2 linked regions of the Oryctolagus cuniculus genome follow. The protein of the gene in region 1 interacts with the protein of each later gene in a pairwise test. Links are inferred from orthologs where the notes say so. Each region holds a gene or a part of one and is shown on either strand. Other genes may lie near its edges.

Region 1 (10,306 bases):
AGCCAGCAGATGGGAATTTTGTTCACTGCACCTATATTTAGTCGGATTAGAAAAATATCTGCATCTCTCACTCCCTGTGGTTTCTGGGAGACTTCAACAATGACTGAGCATCAAAGCATATCCGACTGAGGCTCCGGACAGGACGCACCCCAGCACAGCCTCGCTCATGTCGGTACCTGATGCCACCTTCCCAAATTATCGACTCATTAAAAAAAAAAATCTTTGCAGTTGACTTCATGGGCTTATCATGACTTTGAGCCAGGAACCAATTTTGCAATAATGCTCGTATCACACAATCAATCTATGAACTCAATCCAGGTGGCGAGTAGCACTTTTCCTTGCCTACTGGGCCATTACACTATTCTAATGCTGTCTATTTCTTTCTTTGAAAAAGGCTCTTTTTTTTTTTTTTTCTGTAGACCATCTCATCTAAGACTGGCTATTTTGGTAAACACCCTCCCCCATAAATGGTCAAACATTTAAAGGCATACAGTTCAAAAGTACTTTCCACTTAAGCAATACCAGTTTGACATTAGCGATCTCCCATTCAACTATTCCAGCCAACAGGGGTTGCCTCACGTTTATACCCTGCAAGGTCAAGGAGAGACAGGGCAGGCTGGGTTCCCAGTCTTTGATGGGGAAAGCTCTGGACGATCTTCAGACGGAAGACGTTTTGGGGAAAGGTTTGGTTCTAAATGCATCACTTCTTACCTTTCTCGGGCTCACCCAAAGTCTAGGTCTGGCAGTCTTTTTTTAGAAAGATTTAATTTGGGGGCAGGCGCTGTGGCGTAGTGGGTAAAGCCATCGCCTGCAGTGCCAACATTCCATCCCATATGGGCGCCAGTTCAAGTCCTGGCTGCTCTACTTCCAATCCAGCTCTCTGCTGTGGCCTGGGAAAGCAGCAGCAGATGGCCCAAGTCCTTGGGCCCCTGTACTCCCGTGGGAGACCCAGAAGAAGCTCCTGGCTTCTGGCTTCAGATCGGCACAGCTCCGGCCGCTGCAGCAAATTGGGGAGTGAACCAGCGGATGGAAGACCTCTCTCTCTCTCTCTCTCCTTCTCATTCTATGTAACTTTGCCTTTCAAATAAATAAATCTTAAAAAAAATTTATTTGAAAGGCAGAGTTTACAGAGAGAGAAAGAGGGAAACATGGGGAGAGACAAATATTCCATCTGCTGGTTTACTACTAAAATAACTGTAATGGCTGGAGCTGGGCCGATCCAAGGCCAGGAGCCAGGAGCTTATTCCAGGTCTCCCACGTGGGAGGCAGGGGCCCAGGGACTTGGGCCATCTTCTACTGCTTTCCCAGGCCATAGCAGAGAGCTGGATCGGAAGTGGAATAGCTGGGTCTTGAACTGGCGCCCATATGGATGTCAACATCACAGGCGGTGGCGTTACCTGCTATGCTATAATACCTACCAGCCCCTCCTTTTTTTTTTTTTTTTTTTTAAGGCTTTATTTTATATATTTGAAGGACTGAGTTAGAAGAGAAAACCTTCATCTGTTGGTTCACTCCCCAAATGTCTGCAACAGCTGGGGCTTGGCCAGGTTGAAGCCAGGAGCCAGGAACTCCATCCAGGTCTCCCACATTGGGTGGCAGGGGCCCAAGCATCCGGGTCTTCTTCCACTGCTTTCTTAGGCACATTAGCAGGAAACTGGGTTGGAAGGAGGGTATTCGGGACTCGAACCAGCGCTCCCATATGGGGTGCTGCTCTTGCAGGGACGGAACATCCCGGGCGTCCTCTTCATCTTCCTCAGAAACAAGGTAGAATTAACGAGGGTTCCAGTTCCTGCGCTGGAGTGGTCCCCTAGGGAGTCTAACGACCTTGGGGGCTGTTTCGTGTTCCTCCCGTGTGGAATGGGGTAAAGGCATTCTACTGCGCTGCCCACTTCCCAGAGTCATCCCGGGCCCCCACACCCACAGGGGCTCAGCCGGAAGCCACCGTGAGCAGGACGGGACACCTGGAGAGCCGGCTGTTTACACACAGCCCAGCCTGCCTGCTTCCTATAATTGGCTAAACTGTGTTTTCAATTTGTTTTAAGACAAAGAGTTTGCTTGGTCACATGAAAATGCCTTAAATAGGCGATGCTGTAATTACCCGGCTGAGTCTCGAAGCTTGCTCTGCTTTCCTTTCCTCGGCCAACCCTCCCCTTTTGTCCCGGGATTGGTTTCTTCCTCTCTCGCCCTTCACAAAGAAAATCCCCCTGGCTGGCCGCCCGGGGCTTCTCTGCCCACTTCCATCTTAAGTCATTTTATTTCCTCTCTGAGAGTCTCAGCCTCTTCTGAAATCAAGACAGCGAAACTTGCTGGTTCATCTTTAAAGAAAACTTGGCCCCAGGCATTAGAAGAGCCGGAGGTTCCGTGGAGTCACGTGGCCTGGGTTTCCGCCTCTCTCCAGCTGACTCCTGTGGGATCTCAAATGCTTCCCACGGGGCAGGGCACGCGCTTCCAGAGGTGGCTGTGGTTTCTAATTCTTCTCTCACTGCACGTGAGCCATCCTGAACCCAAGGGCCCCCAAGTTCTCCTCTGGCTCCTGCTTTTTCGGGAGGCGGCTAATCCTGAGCTAATTCTACAGGAAGTGGTGCAGGGGGTGTCTTCCAGTTGCCCAGTTACACTAACGAGGCAGATTTTCTCTCCAAAACGTGAAGTTTCCCCCAGGACTAACTGTGCCCTTGAAGGCAATGAACTCACTAAAGTGAATCATCCCTCTCAAAGGTGTGTATCAACCCAACTTGTCCCAAGGCTGAAAGGATTCTAGAAACAGTCCATGCCAAGGCCACACAACTCAAACAAACGGAACGCTTCCTGTCACAGAACTCAGGTCCAGAGTCCAGGGGGCCCCGGGGGGCCAGGCTCCCTGTGCTAAACACAGGCCTCCTTTCAGGACTGGGGAGAGAAAGACTCGCTCTCTCCGCTGCGCTGTAGGCAGATTCACTGCCCCCCAGGATAGACTGGGGGCCATCGATATCACATGTGCCACGAATCAATATCACATGTGCCACGAATCAATATCACATGTGCCACAAATCAACGTCAGATGTGCCACGAATCGCCAGCTCATCGCGACAGCTCATCGCGGAGGCAGAAAGCGTGGTACAAACACGGCCACTCCCGCAGCAGATGGCCTCAGCGTGCTTGGCAGGGCTGTCAGGGGCCAGGTTCACAGGAGCAGCCAGGGCCCGGGCCCACACCTCGCTGGACGTCCCCCACCCACCCAAGTTAGCCATCCCATCCACCCAAGTGACTTACTCATCAGATACAAACCGGAAAACCTGGGGGCTCACAGCAGTACTTTGTGTAATGCTGACTTTAACCTTTTATTCCAAAGCTTGTCTAAACCTCCTAGACTTAACCCAGCGATTCTATACAGCCTTTGGTCTTGCTAGGCTGATAGGAGGCAGGTGACAACCCTCGGATGTTGACTCAAGACAGCCCGGGCTGGAGTTAACCCCTTCGTACCTGCCCCCCAGCAAAGTGGCTGAAGTCGCTGGCGTTCGTGCTCAGCTAGGAGATGGCCAACTGCTGTACGCACGGCGGACCCGGCGAGCTAACAGGCTACCACGGGAAGCGCCTGGCAGTCTGAGACATCCCCGGCGTGGCCAGGGTGTCCACAGACGTCCCCGGCGTGGCCAGGACAGCAGCCAGGGCGTCCACAGACGTCCCCGGCGTGGCCAGGACAGCAGCCAGGGCGTCCACAGACGTCCCCAGAGTGGCCAGGACAGCAGCCAGGGTGTCCACAGACGTCCCCAGCGTGGCCAGGACGCGAGCGATGCGCTCCCCTTTCAGGTGGCCCCCACTTTCTCGTATAGAATTTCCCCTGGGGTTCTTTCCCTCCGTGCACAGTGCAACCCTGCAGGGGATCGCGCGGCGCCTCCAGCAGCAGAGCTGTCAGCCTCAACACCCACGTGCACAGAGCTGCTGAAACCCGGTTCCCCTTTTTCCCAGCTCCCACATGCTTCGCTTCGGAGAGGAACCCGCTGGCGGCCCGCGGGCGGCGGGGGCGCGCCGGGGGAGGTCGGAGCGTGAGGAAGGCACCCTCCTGCGTTTGGGGGAAAGTCTTAGCAGGAAGCAGCTTTTCGGCCACCAGAAAGCCCGGAGGGCGCCCACTGTGTCCGCAGAGCCCAGCCCCCAGAGAGGCCCGGAGGGAAGCCCACTGCCACCAGAGCACGAAGGGGGGGTGTCCACCTGTCAGTCACCGGCCCCCAGCCTGCGAACACTCGGGGTTCCGCCCAGGGCACGGCGCCTTCCGCTCGGACCCGCCCACGCTCCAAGGGGCTGCCCGAGACGCCCGGACTCCAGACCTGCCCCCCGCGGCCAGGACCTGTCACCCAAGCCCCCGGGGCCCCCGCCCCGCCCGCGCGGACGGACCGTGCGCGCCGCCTACCCGGAGCTCGCCCTCGGTGCGGTGCAGTCCGAGACGCCGCAGCCCCACGGCCAGGTCGTTGACACACAGGCCGCCGTCGCGGTTCACGTCGAGCGTCTGGAAGAGGCTCCACAGGCGCAGCCGGTGGTCCGGACCTCCGCAGACGGCGCCGCCGCACGGGTCCCCCACGGAAGCCGGCGACGAGGCGGGCGACGAGGCGGCGGCGGCGGCGTCCGGCGGCGGGGAGGCCACGCAGCGGCACAACACGCTGCTCACCATCGGGCGCGAGGCTGGGGCGCCGGGCGCGGGCGGGGGCGGGGGCGGCGGGCCGGCGGGCGGCGCGGAAGGCACGCCGGTCTCCTCGGACGGCGAGCGCGGGCTCCCAGAAGCCGGCAAGCTGGCGGGAGGGGCCGCTTCCGGGAGCCCCGCCCCGCCGCGCCACGCCTCCCGGGCCACGCCCCCGGGCCGACCTCCGGCCAGTCACAGGCCGGGACGGCGACCGGGACTGGGCGGGCCGCGGGGCGGAGCCTGCCTGAGAACTACCCGGATCGATGGAAAAGGCGGGGCCGTCCCTGCTCAGCCCGGGGCCGATTCAAACTGAGCGAGGCGGGGATTGGCTGAGCCGGCCGGAGAAGCATGCATTCACGCAGCGATAGGCCGAAGTCGTGTGATTGGCAGGCGGAAGGCCTCGTGTCCAATTTCCCTTGAGAGACGCAGTTTAAGGCTGCGGAAGCGTAAGGCTGGTTGGAGCGGTCGTAGCCTTCCGTGGAAAATAGAACTATCAGGAGAGCAATCGTGAACTGCAGATGTGAGGCAGTTTGTGCTTGTGGGTGGAATTAAAAATTAATGAGCGAAGGCACCAAGTATCCTTAGGATACCGGGTTTTGATAATCTAACTCCCTAGACCACCAATAAAATAGCTGAATTTAACGGCGTAATGGTCGTAATACTGATAATTGAACGACAGAACGACTTTCCAATAGAAGTGAATAAAGGCTAGGTGGGCGGAGCGCTCTCGAGCGACAGACATACCCGTAGACCAATGAAAAGGCTAATTCCAGTAAGTAGGCGTACTCTTTAGCTGAGCGACCGACCGAACAAGCCAGTGACCGACGCGATACTTGAGCTTCGCCCAATCGGGGGGGGCGGGTTCTCCTGGAGAAGCACTGGGAGGCGGGAAGAAGGGAAATGGGCGGATCTCCGCACACCCCGGCGGAAGAGGCAGATTCAGGAAGCCATTACGCAGCTGGCTGGCCGCGGCCGGGCGGGTCGAGGCTGGGCCCTACGCATTTTGCGTAGCGAGGGGGGTTACTAAAGTCCTGGTACTTGGCCTTGAGCAAGCCGAGCCTATCCCCTGTGGGGGTGGGTGGGCGAAGGGTGAGGCCGAGGAAGGAGAAAGGGGAATTGAGGCAGGTGAGAGAATTACAATTTTTTTTTTTTTTTAAGAGAGGAAGGTAGTGGCCATGGCCGTGCCAGCCAAGAAGAGGAAGATGAACTTCTCTGAGCGGGAGGTGGAGATCATCGTGGAGGAGCTGGAGCTGAAGAAGCACCTGCTGGTGAACCACTTCAACGCTGGGGTCCCTCTGGCCGCCAAGAGCGCGGCCTGGCACGGCATCCTGAGGAGGGTCAACGCCGTGGCCACCTGCCGGAGGGAGCTGCCTGAGGTCAAGAAGAAGTGGTCAGACCTCAAGACCGAGGTCCGGCGCAAGGTCGCCCAGGTCCGGGCCGCCGTGGAAGGTGGCGAGGCCCCGGGGCCCACTGAGGAGGATGGCGCCGGTGGGCCAGGGACAGGTGGTGCCGGTGGCGGCGGTGGCCCGGCGGTAGCCCCCGTGCTCCTGACCCCCATGCAACAGCGCATCTGCAACCTGCTGGGCGAGGCCACCATCATCAGCCTGCCCAGTGCCACAGAGATCCACCCCGTGGCCCTCGGACCCACGGCCACTGCAGCCGCGGCCACGGTCACCCTGACACAGAGTGAGTGACCTCTCTGCTCAGTTCGGCGTGGATGGGAAGGGCCAGCAAGCGCTGGGGCTGCCTGGGGAAGATGGGCTGCCGAGGGTCAAAGGTCAGAGGGGGCCCCTTCCGGGGGCTCCCCAAGGCAGCAATGATCTTGACCTCTTTGGGACCTCCTCAGCACGTGGAGTGGACTCCCTGGGGGCCGAGTGGCGCTCTCCTGCGTTTGGCCACCATTCATGCTTGTGGCTGAGCTCCACCTGCTGAGCTGTGTGGTCCCTGAAGACAGAGGCCGTGACAGGACGTATGTGTGGGGTGACTAGAGGGCAATCATAGTGCCCCAGGGACACAAAGACAGAGGGGTTCTGTGTTTCCAGGGCGGAGCAGGGAGCCTCCAGACTCCTGGAGCCACCTGCTCATTCATTCACCCATTCCGCGAGCGCTGGCTCTTACGCCGTGTGTGCTGGGAGTGCAAAACACAGGCCGGTTCAGGGCTGGGAGGACGGATGAGGGCGTGAGTGAGCAGGTCCACCAGCACTTGGGAAGGCCTGAAGACTCAGAAGAGGAAGGGGCTTCCTGGCTGGCGGGGCGGGGTGCACAGGTCCCTGTGCACTCAGGCTCCGGCAGCCCAGCTGGGATTCCTGGAAGTTCTGTGCTGTGGCTGACAGCAGATCTACCTCGGGCTGGGGCTTGGAGTTGAGATGAGGGGCTGTGCCCGTGGCTGTGACCTCTGCTGATGTGTGCCGGGCTAGGAACTGCATCAGCCAGTGAGTCCCAGCGGGGCTGGAGGAGCTGGCCGTGTGTGTGAGTGCCATCCCCCTGCAGTGTCACGTACAGAGACCGCGGTCTCGGTCAGGTCCTATTCTGGAACAGGATGGCGATTCCGGTACCCCTCTGACCAGGGTGACCAGAAAGACAGGGAGGTGTTGGCTGGGCACGCTAGCCGATGCTGTTCCATTCTCGCTTGTTTCTGTCTGGTTACGGGGGACATGGACGCCAGGAAGGCAGCCAAGGAGGTAGGACTGGTGCGGCTGCAAACAGCTTGTGCAGGCGCCTGAAGCCCGGCCTCTGATGCCCCCTGCTAGCCAGAAGCGGCCTCACGGCAGGTAAAGAATTCACAGATCCTGGCCCCTAGCGGGTGCCCTGCAACTTTGGGGAGCACCATTACTGGTGTCTTTGCGTCTGCCAAGTCCCCTTGGCGACCAAGGTTAAGATGGCAAACATCGGGCTCTCTATAAGCCAGGGCCTCCTCCCCACCCCTCACGGCTACCTGCATCCCTTCCAGAAAGTGACCTGCCCCTGCCTTGGCTCTTTCTCCCCCTGCAGTCCCCACAGAGACCACCTACCACACGCTGGAGGAGGGCGTGGTGGAGTACTGCACGGCTGAGGCGCCCCCAGCCCTGCCGGCCGAGGCGCCCGTGGAGATGATGGCCCAGCACGCGGACACGCCCGTCAAGCCGCAGGCACTCAAGAGTCGCATCGCCCTCAACTCGGCCAAGCTCATCCAGGAGCAGCGGGTCACCAACCTGCACGTGAAGGAGATCGCCCAGCACCTGGAGCAGCAGAACGACCTGCTGCAGATGATCCGCCGCTCCCAGGAGGTGCAGGCCTGTGCCCAGGAGCGCCAGGCCCAGGCCATGGAGGGCACCCAGGCGGCCCTGAGCGTGCTCATCCAGGTCCTCCGGCCCATGATCAAAGATTTCCGCCGCTACCTGCAGAGTAACACGCCCAGCCCGGCCTCCGCCTCTGAGCCCGGACAGGTGGCCCAGAACGGGCAGCCGGACAGCATCATGCAGTGAGGGCAGGGCTGTGATTGGAGGAAACCTCCGGGGTCTCGTAAGCGGCTTCTGTGATTGGTGGGCCATGTGGACAGCCCTCTCTCTGATGGACACGGAGGGTCTGCGGGTTTTGAGACATGAAGGAGACCAGGAAGAGGAACCTGTTGGGCTCCTGGGACCCCAACTCTCTCGCTCTCACCCCGCTCGATCCGGAAGATGGGATAGCTAAGGGGTCGCGCCCTGTGTGCTGGGGGTGGGACACGCCCCATACCGGGTCTCAGAGAACTGTAGAAGGCAGCCGGCCCTCCCTGCGCCATCTCCCAGCCGGGCCCCACGCTGGGCCGTCCGCTGCAGATGCCAGCCCTTTGAGGGAGCTCTGGCCAGCGGTGCTGCCGGACAGGCGGTAATGGCGTCTTCCCTGGGGAGGGGGCCCGGCTGAGCCTGAGGAGGGCACTGCCCCCAGCTGCTTCTCACTGTGCCTCTGTTCTCAGGGGATTCCTGCTCCTGCGCCCGGGCACGGCCTCCGCAACCCACCCAGCTGCAGGCAGCCCAGCTCGGGCCTGCCGTGCGCCGTGGGGGTGGCCGGGCGGCGCTCTGGTCTTCCGCAGCGTCTCTGGGCAGCCCGCTGGTGGCCTGCCCCTGCAGCTGCCGACTCAGGTCAAGCTTTGGGTGCTGTCCATTGTAGAACAAACCGGGGTGGGCGCTGTTGCCCTGCAGCAGGGGCCTGGGGCAACCTGGTAGTTCCTTCCGGAAGAAGTAGCTTCGAGCTCCTTGTATTTATTCTGAACCCCTCCGGGAAGGCAGCTCTGTGGCCAGCCCCTTTCTCCTGTCCTCTCCTCTGACCACGTTTCCAAAATCGAGCGCCGAACAGCCCAGCTCGGAGTCTCCTCCCTCACTGTGCCATTCAGGACCTCGAGTGCTGGCGAGACGCCCTGTGGCCGAGTGGACCCAACGCCATGAGGGTCCCTGCATGTGGGGGGTGGGAGGGGCGCAGCTGAGCTGGGGGCACGCTGCGGGAGCACTGCGCCCTGTTTGGAAGGACAGCACCCAGAGGGCATCTGCCTGTCTCATCGTCAGGCTCCCCTCGATTACCGGGGCCCCTGCACCTCCCCAGACCCTTCCTCCAGGGGCGGCCTTGTCACAGGCATCTTGGCCACGCGTGACCCACGGTCCAAAGAGAAGGCTGCGGGTCTCAGCTGCGCCTGCGCTGAAAATGCCCTTCTGGGCACAGTGTTGGAACTGTTCCGCTGCACTGCTACACACACTGGGAGGTGGCCCCCACGACAGCCGGGGGGGCACGCGGGCAGCACCAGCTCCGGCGGGGTGGAGGCGGCTCCGGCCCCACGAGGGTGGGCGGCGGAAGGCAAGCAGCAGCCCCCAGAGCTTGGGCATGCTCACTCCGTGCAGCCTGGGGGCCCCAGCAGGAACTTGCTAAGGCTCTGTGGCTTGGTTTGGTTTTTCTCTGGGGTTAGAAATCTGAGCCAGGATTGTGTCTGCTCCACGTGGGTAGAACGAGGAAGCCTGGGTCGCTCACATGGACTCGTTCCTTCCAGGTCACGATTTTAAATTAAAGGGATATCACTTTTCATACACACATCTCCGTGTCTTTTTTTTTTTTTTTTTTTTTTTTAAGATTTATTTATTTGAAAGGCAGTTACAGGGAGAGAAGGAGAAAGAGATCTACCTGCTGGTTTGCTCCCCAAATGACCTCAACAACCAGGACTGGGCCAAGCTGAAGCCAGGAGCCAGCAACCAGGAACTCCACCTGCGTGGCAGGAGCCCAGACACCTGGGCCATCTTCTGCCTCCCCAAGCGCATGAGCAGGAAGCTGGGTCAGAAGTGGAGCAGCTGGGTCTTGAACCAGGGCCCATGTTGGGTGTCCATGTAGCAAGCTGTGGCTTCACCTGCTGCACCACATTGCCGGCCCCCATTTCTTTATCTTTTTATTGTTTATAAACAGAAGAGAGCAGGAGCGGGTAGACTATGGCACACAGGCCAAATGTGGTCCAGCATTTATTCATTTATGTTGACAGGCAGAGTGAACAGTGAGAGAGACAGAGAGAAAGGTCTTCCTTTACCGTTGGTTCACCCTCCAATGGCCGCTGCAGCCGGCGCATCGCGCTGATCCGAAGCCAGGAGCCAGGTGCTTCTCCTGGTCTCCCATGGGGTGCAGGGCCCAAGTACTTGGGCCATCCTCCACTGCACTCCCGGG
Region 2 (9,914 bases), on another chromosome or scaffold:
CCCTCTCCCCCACAGCAGCTCCAGTGCGGCCGTCGTCGGGTCTGGCGTTTTGTCTCCGGTCTTCCCGAGCCGATTGCAGCCGTGCCTGACGGCGAAGTTTTTCGGAAGTCTCTTCCCAACCTTGCCCGGGTCGAGTGTGAATCGCTTTTCCTCCGGGCCCAAGTGGAAAACTTTGGAGACGCCCTGTTTGAGTAGCGCGACCCCACCACTTTGTGGCAAAGAGGAAACTTGGGGCCTCCGTTCAGCCTCTGTCCCGCCCAACCATCCTCTCCCTTCTCAACTAAGACCGAATTTTTGGAGACTTTGCTGGGGTGGGGGGTGGGGGGAGGAAATCAGAGAGGATGCTTAGCGCAGACTCTAGCGAAGAGAAAGGAGAATCCAGGCAGGCAGCCTGGGGACACCAGGAACCGCGGACCTTGCCGCTTCCGGAGAGCACAACTCTCATTCTGGCGCCTGTGCCTGGGCACCAGTCCGTGAATGACCGCAGTGCCAGACGCAGGGCCAGGGGCTGGACCTTGGAGGAGGGAGCTGGGTCCGCTCTTTCCTGCTTTCAGACTCCTTCCCTGTGCGGGAGCAGGGGCCCACTCTGAGCCTCGGGTTCCGCGTCCACGCCCCAGGTGTCTAGCTCCCCCCACCACTCCACCACCCGCGTCCAACTTCCTTTTCTTAATTACGCTGCTGCGGCCAAGTGCCAGCGCTTCTGATTCGCGGCCAAGGCCAATCTACAAAGCGCCAGGAATGGAACCAGCTCAAGGAGCGCTCCTGCCGCATGGTGGGCGAGAGTCTGCGAGGCCAGGGCAAGGGCCAGAGGTCAGGGCGAGCGGGCCCTCGGCGGAAGCGGCAAGCACCCAGCTAACGGGGTCCTCTTCCTCTCCCACACTCACAAACGCACCCAGCCCACTCAGCAAAGAAAGAAGTGAGCATTCCGAACGTGGATCTTGCGAATCCCGCCACGTTCAGATTCAAAGGACTTGCGATTCATTGCCCACTTGAACAATGGTGACCAGCCTGGGCAGGGCAGGGCAGGAGCGAGGTGGGGGGAGGGTGGCGGGAGAGTTCTTGAGGGCAGTCCAGGCGCTGCTGCCCGCCAAGTGTTCAGGACCCCCACTCCCACCCCGCACCGCGCCCCGAGAAGTCTCAGGTTTTGCCAGAGAAGCTGCCCTGGCGGGAGCCGCTTAACCTAGGTGCGTGCGGTGTTCTGGGAACCCTGCCCTGACTGAAACACCAGCGCGATTAACACGATTTAACACGCAGGCATTGCCACAGCCTCGGAGGTCAGTCACTCACACCTCGGCGCGATTTACACACAGTAGCTGGCCGTCACAGCGCTTCTGAGGAAATTGGCACTTAAACAGGAAAACTTGGGAACTGAAGGGAATCACGGTTTCTGATCCCCCCGCGGAGAGGACGTAGGCCAAGGTACCCGCGTGTCTCAGAAGACGTGGCCAGTGTACCCCCGCGCCAAGAAACCCTTGCTAAAAACCCAAGCCCTCCTCCCGCGCCGCGCCAGGCCGCCAGCCCGAGAGCGCGCCATGGAGCTCTCCGCGGTGCTGAGAAACGCCCAGCACAGCGGCGGCGGGGCGAGCGCGGATGTTGTTGGGGTCAACTTTTTTTTTGTCCCCCAGAAACAAGGGCTCCACAGGCAGGAGGCTTGGGGCCTCCTGGGTACCCCTGCTCCGGGGAGGCCCAGGCGTGTAGCTCCCTGGCTGCGGGGCCGCGTGCCTAGCGCCGAGGCGGCGGCGCAGTCCCCCGGAGCGGGGTCCCGGGAGCCCCCAGGGCCGCCGAGTCGCGTCCTCCCGACGCCCGGAGTCCCTGCCGTGCGACTCCAGGCTGCTCCGGGCCGCGCGTCGCGGCTCTTCTGGACTTCCGCGCGGGCGGGGCGCTCCTCTCCCTACAGGTTTGCTTTAATGATTTTCTTGAAAGAAAGAGACAGTTGTGAGCAAACAGGTTTGACAGGGGCGGCCCCCCCAACACACACACATACACCCTCAGGGGATTTCTTTTTTGTCTGCGCCTGACTTCAAAGTCTGTAATCGGCCCCTGTCAGAGGCGTGACGGGGAGGATTGCGGCTGGTGCCGAGGGCGAGTCGCGGCCGCGCACCTCAGCAGAGTCTCTGCGGCCTGCGGGGGCCGAGGCGGGGACCGGCGGGAGCGAGGCGTGCTGGGCAGAGACGGCCTGAGCCAGGCCTGAGGCTTCGGGTCGCCGGGCCCACGCTGGACCCCCGTTCCGTGCGGGTTGGATAGAAGTGCGGGCACCTCTCGGCCACAGCGCACCCTAGCTTCCCAGAGCTCCCCTCCGAGTCCCCAGGGCCGGCGCAATCGGGAACGCTCGTTTCCGTGTTCCAGCTTCGGCCGCCGCCAGAGTTCTTCCGCTCTCGGCCCGGCCGGGTGCCCAGTTTCCAGCCTAACCCTACTTCGGAGTTGGCGGGGCACCCTTGTGGGGCCGAGCGCGCTGGACTCCTCCCGGGGGCTGGGCGCCGCCGCGCTGGGCTCTGCAGGGAGACACTCAGACCCCTGGAAGCTTCATCTTAAGAGATGTTAAGGGACACTGAGCTATGAGGGAGCTCAGAGCGCCTGACAGGACTGTCAGTTTGGGGATACATCAGACAGCGAAACCGCAGCGCCTCCGCCCCGGGCCTCCTGGGCTTCCTAGGGGGCGGGAGGAGGGGCCTTCCCTGTGCGCCCGGGGCCCGGGACCGGACGGCCACCAGAGGCAAGTCACTTCCTAATTGTCTCTATTTGTAAGAGGGTTTTGTGATGCTAAGTAAGCGTAGCGCAGCCCTCCCGGCCTCCCCCGCGCCTCCCCCAAGCTCGCCTTTGTTTACCTTCGCCTGATCGCTCATTTATTTATCTATCTATTATTTATAGGCGTCCCCTCCTATTCAGCTCCCGTGTATGTTAATTGTGTTATACCATTTAATTCTAACATCGGTCTCAAAAGAGCTCTTAATGAGAAAAGCATATACAACACGAATCACTTTGCCATTCAGCTCAGCCAGATGGACAACTGCTAACTTTTTTTTTTTTTAATAATGAAAATCCCCCTTTGACAAAGGGGCTAGGATGAATAGGATCCAAACAGCACCTCAAACACTTGTAATTGTTTTGAGGACAATATGCTAATCCGCGGGCTCCGGCTTGGGTGTCTGCTGACAACGGTTCCCCTGCACCTCGAACCACAGCCTCCTTTGGAGTCCCCAGTCCCCACCCCCTAGCAGCAGCAGCCGCGGCAAGCCTGCAAGCGCCTGGGCTGCCCCACCCCCAACCCGCACCCTACCGCGGCCAGCGAGAAGAGCGCGCGACCTGCGGGAGAACACGCGTGAGCGAGGCGGTGGGGGCGAGACTCGCAGGAGACAGAGGGTGGGGAGCGCCTTTGATTTTGAGAAGAAGTTCCAGAGAGTTGTGCTGGCTGGCATCAGGGTCCCCTCTCCTCGGGAAAAGCAGTAATCTTCAAGTAAACAAATATTCACCCAGAAGGGAAAGCGAAGGGCTCCTTTCCTTGTTTGTTAAACGCGAGTTATTTGGTTTTTATGATTTTTTTTTTTTTTAGAAAAACTCCTTGCCTGAGCCATGCCAATATCGCCTGTCTCTTCCCTTTGCTCCCAAATGGTCTTAGTAAAAAGTCTCTGACCATCCGGGACGCAGAGCTAGGTCGCGTCTTCTGGCATTTCTTAGGCTTTTATTTTCTAACTTAGGGACTAATAGCCAGATTCCCCATAGGAGCCAGCGGCAGTTTTTCCAGACACCTAAAGAAAAGCAAATCGATTCCACCCGGCTTCCCCCGAGCCTTGAACTTAAAGGTCCACCGCAGGCCGTGGTGCTCCGCGCGCAACTGGTTCCCGGGAGAATCGGCGCTTCTCCCCATTCCTTTCGAGTTTGGTTTAGAAAAGTTAACGCACCCAGACTCGGCCTTTGTCTTGGTTCATTGGCTTCTCGGAGTGGCCTAACCCTTTCGTGAAGAATGGGGCCAGGAGCGACGTCCCAGGGATGGATAAAGGCCTAGAACGGATCCCCCGGGCGTGATCCTGAGGGATCTCAGACTCTAGGTCACTTCGCAGCCGGCTCGCAGGCCGCCAGCTTCGGCCAGCGCAACGCGCAGCTCAGCCGCCAGCGATCACTGCCCAAGGCGCCTCCCCGCGACCCGACTCCCCGGCCCCGCTGCCCTGGCCTCCTGACTCCAGATTTTTAGGCACATCAAAGGTTACTTTTTGCAACGACAGATTGTCTTTATTCAAAACGTCTTTGTTCAACAAATGAACAGAGTAACGAGGTAAAATCCTTCCAGGTACATTTCCAAGACATCGTCAAAACATTTACCATTATTTAGGATGTTTTAATCCTTTTGTTGTTGTTCACTTTCCACTTCCTGACTTCGGAACCCGATTTTCTGTCTAACAGTAAACTTAGGTCTCTAGGAACACTGCTTGACACAAAGTAAATAACCATGTGGGTCCTTCTTGTTTTCCCTTTAAAGAAGCAAACACTATATCATAGCATGGTTTTAAATAGAAATGGTTCCCTTGCTGTAGTTTAAAACTTTTAAGCCTTTTTTCCCAAACATGAAGAATAAATGGCGCTTGGTTGTGTCTGATGGCAAGACACAGAGAAACAGCCAACTCTTTTTTTCTTCAGGGGCAGAAGAGGAAAAAAATATATATATATGCATATTCTAGATATAATACCAGGATCTGGGAGTTCGGAGTCCAAAGCCTATCCGAGGAGAGTGAAGGGGAGATAAATAAAGCAAAATTGCCTACTTCTTTGTCCAAAGGGGGTACAGTCGGAGATTTGGGGGAGAGTCAGGATAGGGGCAGCGCAGCTGTCAAAACGTCTGCAAGTTTCTGCACCTGTCCACGCCTCTGGTCGGTAGGACGCCCCTCCCTTCTCCCTGGAAGAGAGAGGCCGAGTCTGGGACCGGGTAAGGGGCGGCGGCAGGGCTGACCCAGAGGCTTCTGCAGGCCAGGCAGGGCTAGGTGCAGAGGACAGGGTGCAAACCCCGCTTCCAGGCCACCCCTCCGGTCCGGGCCAGGCCGGGGGTTACATGGCTGTGGCGTGGGCTGACGAATAAGGGTCTATGCCAGTCTTGGTCATGCCTGGAAAGAGGATGTAGGCGACGGGGGGCTGCAGGGTGGAGGCAGACCAGGCGGTACAGTTACAGGGCACCACGTAGCCCGGGTTGGTGGGGGACGGGTGCGTGTGCGTGTGCTGGCTGGGGCAGCTGAGGCTGCCGAAGGCGCCGTTCTGGTAGCCCAGGGTGGACGCGTAGGGCAGCGCGCCGGTGGCCAAGGTGTGGGGCACTTCACCCATCTTCTGGATGGCGCTCGAGCTAAACTGCGCGGGGTCCAGCAGGGAGTAGGGCGCCGAGGCCGGCGGCAAGAAGGCCCGGGCTTTCTCGGGCGCGCTCAGGAGGCCGTCGGAGGCCCCTACGGGCAGACCAGCCGCCTTGAGCGGGTCCGTGTCGCCCAGGTAGGGCAGGGGGAAGACATACCTGTCTTTCTTGAGCAGGTTCTTGGGCTTTCGCCGCGGCCGGTACTTGTAGTCGGGGTGCTCCTTCATGTGCTGGGCGCGTAGCCGCTTGGCCTCGTCGATGTATGGCCGCTTTTCTGCCTCGGACAAAAGCTTCCATTCGGCGCCTAGGCGCTTGCTGATCTCCGAGTTGTGCATCTTGGGGTTTTCCTGGGCCATCTTGCGCCGCTGGCCCCGGGACCATACCATGAAGGCGTTCATGGGCCGCTTGATGTGGTCTGAAGGTTTGGACATGGTCCCGGCGGCTTAGGCGGGCGGGGGTGGGGAGTGCAGGGCCTCCGAGGGCGAGCTTGGGCGCAGTTGGCCGTCTGTCTGTCCGTCCTGACCCGGGGCTCTGCGCTCCCCTCACCTCGGCGCTGCTGAGGGGAAGCCGGAGAGAAGAGCTGACCCCCCACAAAGTTCAGCTGATCATGCCAGTCCCAGCACCCAGGCAGCCCCCGGGGGGCGAGTGGGGGGCAGATGGGCGGGGGTGGGGGAGGCAAGGGCGACCGGCTGGCGACTGCGGGCGCCAGAGGCTGGGCCCAAGTGCTGGAGTCTCGGGTGTGGAGTGGCCAGGTAATTTTCTGGCGAGGGCAGGAAGCTCCTCCTTCTCCCCCTTTTCCACCTTCGCCTTCTCTCCTTCCCTTCTCTCCTCTTGCGCCTCTGGCCGTAGCTCCCCCCGCCCGTGGCTTTCCCGGAGCTGCCTCGCCCAGCGCTGCACCTGGCTGAGAATGCGGGGAGGCTGGTGAAGGAGAGCCCAAAGCGGCGAAGTTCAAAGGCGAGGTGGGCCCGGACGGCACGCACTCTGACATAAGCGCGGGGCGGCGACTCCCCAACCTGGGCGCCAATCAGCAGCAGAGAAGGCGGGGGTGGGGGGGCGCACCTGCCAACACGCGGGTGGAGGAGAGACCGAGTGCGACCAGCGGGGGCGGGGAGAGGTGTGAGGGGGAGAGAGACCCGGAGAGCCAGAGAACCGAGCGTCTGGCTCAGGGCTGGGGGCCTGGGTTCCTTATTGTCTCTGGACTGTCAGCAAAACTCTTCGCGTCTCCCGCACTCTTTCCCAGTTGTGCCAGGGAGAATCAGTGCTTCGAATTTCGAGATCCGGGTAGGGGACAAAAAAGGGAGCGAGGCAGAGCTTGTGTTGATAAATAGGACAATCTCGCCACGAAATGCAAGGACAGCACTCCCCTCCCTTGCCAAAGATCCTTGGAAGAGCGAAAAGAATACATCAAACTCAGGGTAAAAAGAGAAATAAACTTTTCGCGCTAGACCACCGGGGGTCCATTGGCAGTGTTCTCTCAGGACTCCCCTGAGGCTGGGTCTCTGCGGCTGCCCCAGGACGCCGCGCCAGGGTGTAGCTCTGCGCCCCGGGCCCGAAGGGGAGCCCTGTGCAGCGAGCCGACGCCCAGAAACCTCGCGGGCGCAGCTGCAGAGGCTTCGAATCCCGGCCGATGCGCCCTTCAGCGCGCCCCCGACCTGCTCCCCACTTCCCAGAAAGAAGTGGAGGAGGGTTGGATTTCCATCAGGGTTCCCATTTATATTGCTATTATTTAATGCTCGTAAACCTTCAACTTTCCCTCCTCGATTGTCCAAACAGGTAGAGACGGCTGGCGGCAGCTGGCGGCGGCGGCGGCGGCGGTGGTGGGGCTTCCCAGCCCCGCTTCAACGGCGGCCCTAGAGCAGTCTCCGGCTGTAGCTGCAGCCGGGCTCGGTTTGTCCCTGGGCGCCTCTTCCCACCCAGCGAGGCAGCGAGACTCGTTTCTAGAGTCAGATGAGCATTCTTCGGGTAAAGAGGACGAAATAACCCGCAGAGCCAACCTGCGCGCCTGTTTCCTTTGAATAATTGCCTGCCCGATGTGAAATGCCCTTGGGGGAAATATTTATTAAATGGAAACTATTGTCCCGGGCCCGGAGGGACCTGCGTGTGTTCCAGGCTTATTGGCTTTTGCACCAGCCTCTCTCGGGAGGACGGGCCGGAAACCCCGCACCGGCTCAGTCAGCCAGGAGTGGGGGAGGTAGGCGGGAGGCAGCAGGGGAGGGTCTGTCGCTAGCATGTGCTGTATGGAGTTTGAGGACTTCGAGTCTCCCTCCTAAAATTAGACTCTTTTACCCTCAGCATGGATCTTTAGAGAGATGGGCACTATCCCCCATTTTACAGATTGGGAAACTGAGATCGAGGAAAGGTTCTGTGATTTGCCCAAAGTGACGCTGGTGGGAGGTGATGAGACCCGGTGTATAGGAGGATTTGAAAACCCCTACACTTCCCCCATCCCGGCGGCGTCACGTGAGAGGATTTGTCTGTGCAGCTGCCAAACGTGGTGGAACCTTTGACGAGACTATTGGAGCCATCGAAACCTGCCCTGTAGATAAACTGCGCCAAAGGACAGATTTCGCTTTTGTTCGCTTAGGCTCCAGTTGGAGAACCGGCTTGCTTAAGCAAGCACTCCCAACCACCAGCGTCACCTCCGCGCGGGTTGAGGAGCAGGTGCACCAACCTTTGCATTCCTTCTCAACGGTAGCTGGGACCACCCTCCGGAAGCCTGCTTCTGGCCTTCCGTCCTTGTTTTCTCTGCACTCAGTGTGGGACTTCAAGAAGCAGAAGCACTTTCCATTCCAGGTGAGGGCGGCTTTCCAAACATCGCAGGCAACCCCTAGCGGTGCCAAACGCCCAGAGCCAGTCAGGGTTAGGAGGTGCAGGGGCCACGCGATTCTAACTCTATTGGGCAACCCAGACAGCTTTGGGAAGGAACCAAAGGATATTCAAGTCTGCAGAGAGACGCAGCTTCCAGCAGGGACCAACCAATTTCCCACTTTGGAACCCTCCGCGGGACGCGGCACCCACTGCCCGAGGTTTGGGTTAATGCAAATCAACCTCTTGGAAACTGCTTAAGCACGCTGTCCTGGATGTTTCTCTTAGCTCAGCCTTCAGGCCGACCCGTTCCAGTGGTCGCGAGGAAGACAGTCGCACGCCCTCCTTCAATGCCTCCTATTTCCTCTTCTAAGCACCGCGCTCCTCTCCAGCCTCTTGAGCTCAGCCCTAGGGAGCAATCCAAGAGCTACTCACAACCCAAGAGCTATCTGCGAGCCGGTGCGGATTATCCCAAAGAGCGAGCCAAGGGTGGCAGGCAGTTTGTGGGCAGAAGGCCCTCCACCTCTAGGGCGCCCGGGGCCCCATGCTTCCTGGTCGGGTTGCAATGACTCGGGCGGGCGCCAGCCTCTAGCCTAGGGAAGCCCGAGCGGAGGGCGACACCTTTCAGGCCGCGCATCTGCTACCTCCTGGACGACCTGCCCAGCCGCGCCCATCCTGTGGAGTCCTGGGAGTCCATGGGTCCATTCCAGACTCCTCAGGCGGCTGGGCGCAGGAGACCCGATGATTCCGGGGTCCCGGCTGGCGCTGTCTCCAGCTGGGTCATCACTCCGACTTGTGCGTTTCCGCCAGCGAGTTCAGGAGAGGTGACCCCTGGGGAGGAGATCCAGCAGCTTTTGCCATAGCCCAAAGGCCTTAGGACGGAGCGTTCCCTAAAGGCTCCTCTAGCTCTGGCCGCAGCCTGCCGTTCAGGCCTCAGGCTGCCATCCCATTCCCCAGGCCGGTGGCATCTCTGGGATGAGATCTCTTCTTCTGCATGTCCTGAACGCGGGATTCATTTTTTGACTCCGCGACTCCAGGCACGCGGCCTGCGGGCTTTAGCTGGGTGTCTGAAGCCCCGAACAACGCGAATTCTGTCAGCGAACCCTCCCTGCTCCAGTCCAGGGGCAGGAGGTTGTCCTGGGGAGTCTCTCCTCTCCTCCGGCTTCCCTCCGCCGCGCCCAGGGTCCAGGATGTGCCCCTTGCTCTTTGGAGGCTTGGAGCCTTCACAGGGCGCCTCTTTCCTCTTTTGTCCCAACTCCTTTGCAGACCTCAAGTGTCAGTTAAGGCTAATCACCCGCTGGGCCGGGACTGCTTCCACTTTGCCCCGCTCACACTTACTCAGCGTCGCTTAGGACTGTCGCAGCCGGGACAGTGCACCAGCCTTCGAACTCTGCGAGGGCAGGGCTGCGTGGCGCGCATCTTTGGGTGTCCAATGGGCACGCAACTCCTGACGCTCACTGATGTTTCTTTCTGCCCAGGCCCAGGTAAACGTTGTGCACACACCTCCCTCCCCTGATGCCCCGCAGCAGCCCAGTAGAGACCCAAGCGGAAGTCTGGGGCCTCGAGGCCTGTACCCACCTGCCTGGCCTCCAGGCTCCGCTCCGCACTCCATCCCGTCCTGTCTGGTGGGCAGAGCTCATGGTTCCCAGGCCGGTGGGACTGGGAAAAGGCTGAGTGCTCCGAGGAAGCTGCGCAGACCTTGGCTTGGATTAGGCCATTGAAGGTGGAAGGGAAGAGGGCAGGTGGCGCTGAGACCCGGAGGCTTTCGGAAGAGAGCGGG

The links. The genes of interacting proteins can lie anywhere in the genome.
Region 2: the proteins of NAIF1 (region 1) and SOX14 interact in binary tests that used the Homo sapiens proteins (3 or more experiments, as listed by UniProt). The two-hybrid records come from large-scale screens. The link is inferred for Oryctolagus cuniculus from reciprocal best matches to the Homo sapiens genes NAIF1 and SOX14.

Annotation. Positions count from the first base shown.
Region 1 is NC_091432.1:231,416,894-231,427,199, reverse strand, and holds NAIF1 (nuclear apoptosis-inducing factor 1), read left to right. Parts: upstream 1-5,405; 5' UTR 5,406-5,423; intron 5,424-5,564; exon of another isoform or gene 5,565-5,685; intron 5,686-5,809; 5' UTR 5,810-5,826; coding exon 5,827-6,337; intron 6,338-7,642; coding exon 7,643-8,115; 3' UTR 8,116-9,689; downstream 9,690-10,306. UniProt on the Homo sapiens protein: Induces apoptosis.
Region 2 is NC_091435.1:143,914,287-143,924,200, forward strand, and holds SOX14 (transcription factor SOX-14), read right to left. Parts: upstream 5,981-9,914; 5' UTR 5,761-5,980; coding exon 5,038-5,760; 3' UTR 4,196-5,037; downstream 1-4,195. UniProt on the Homo sapiens protein: Acts as a negative regulator of transcription.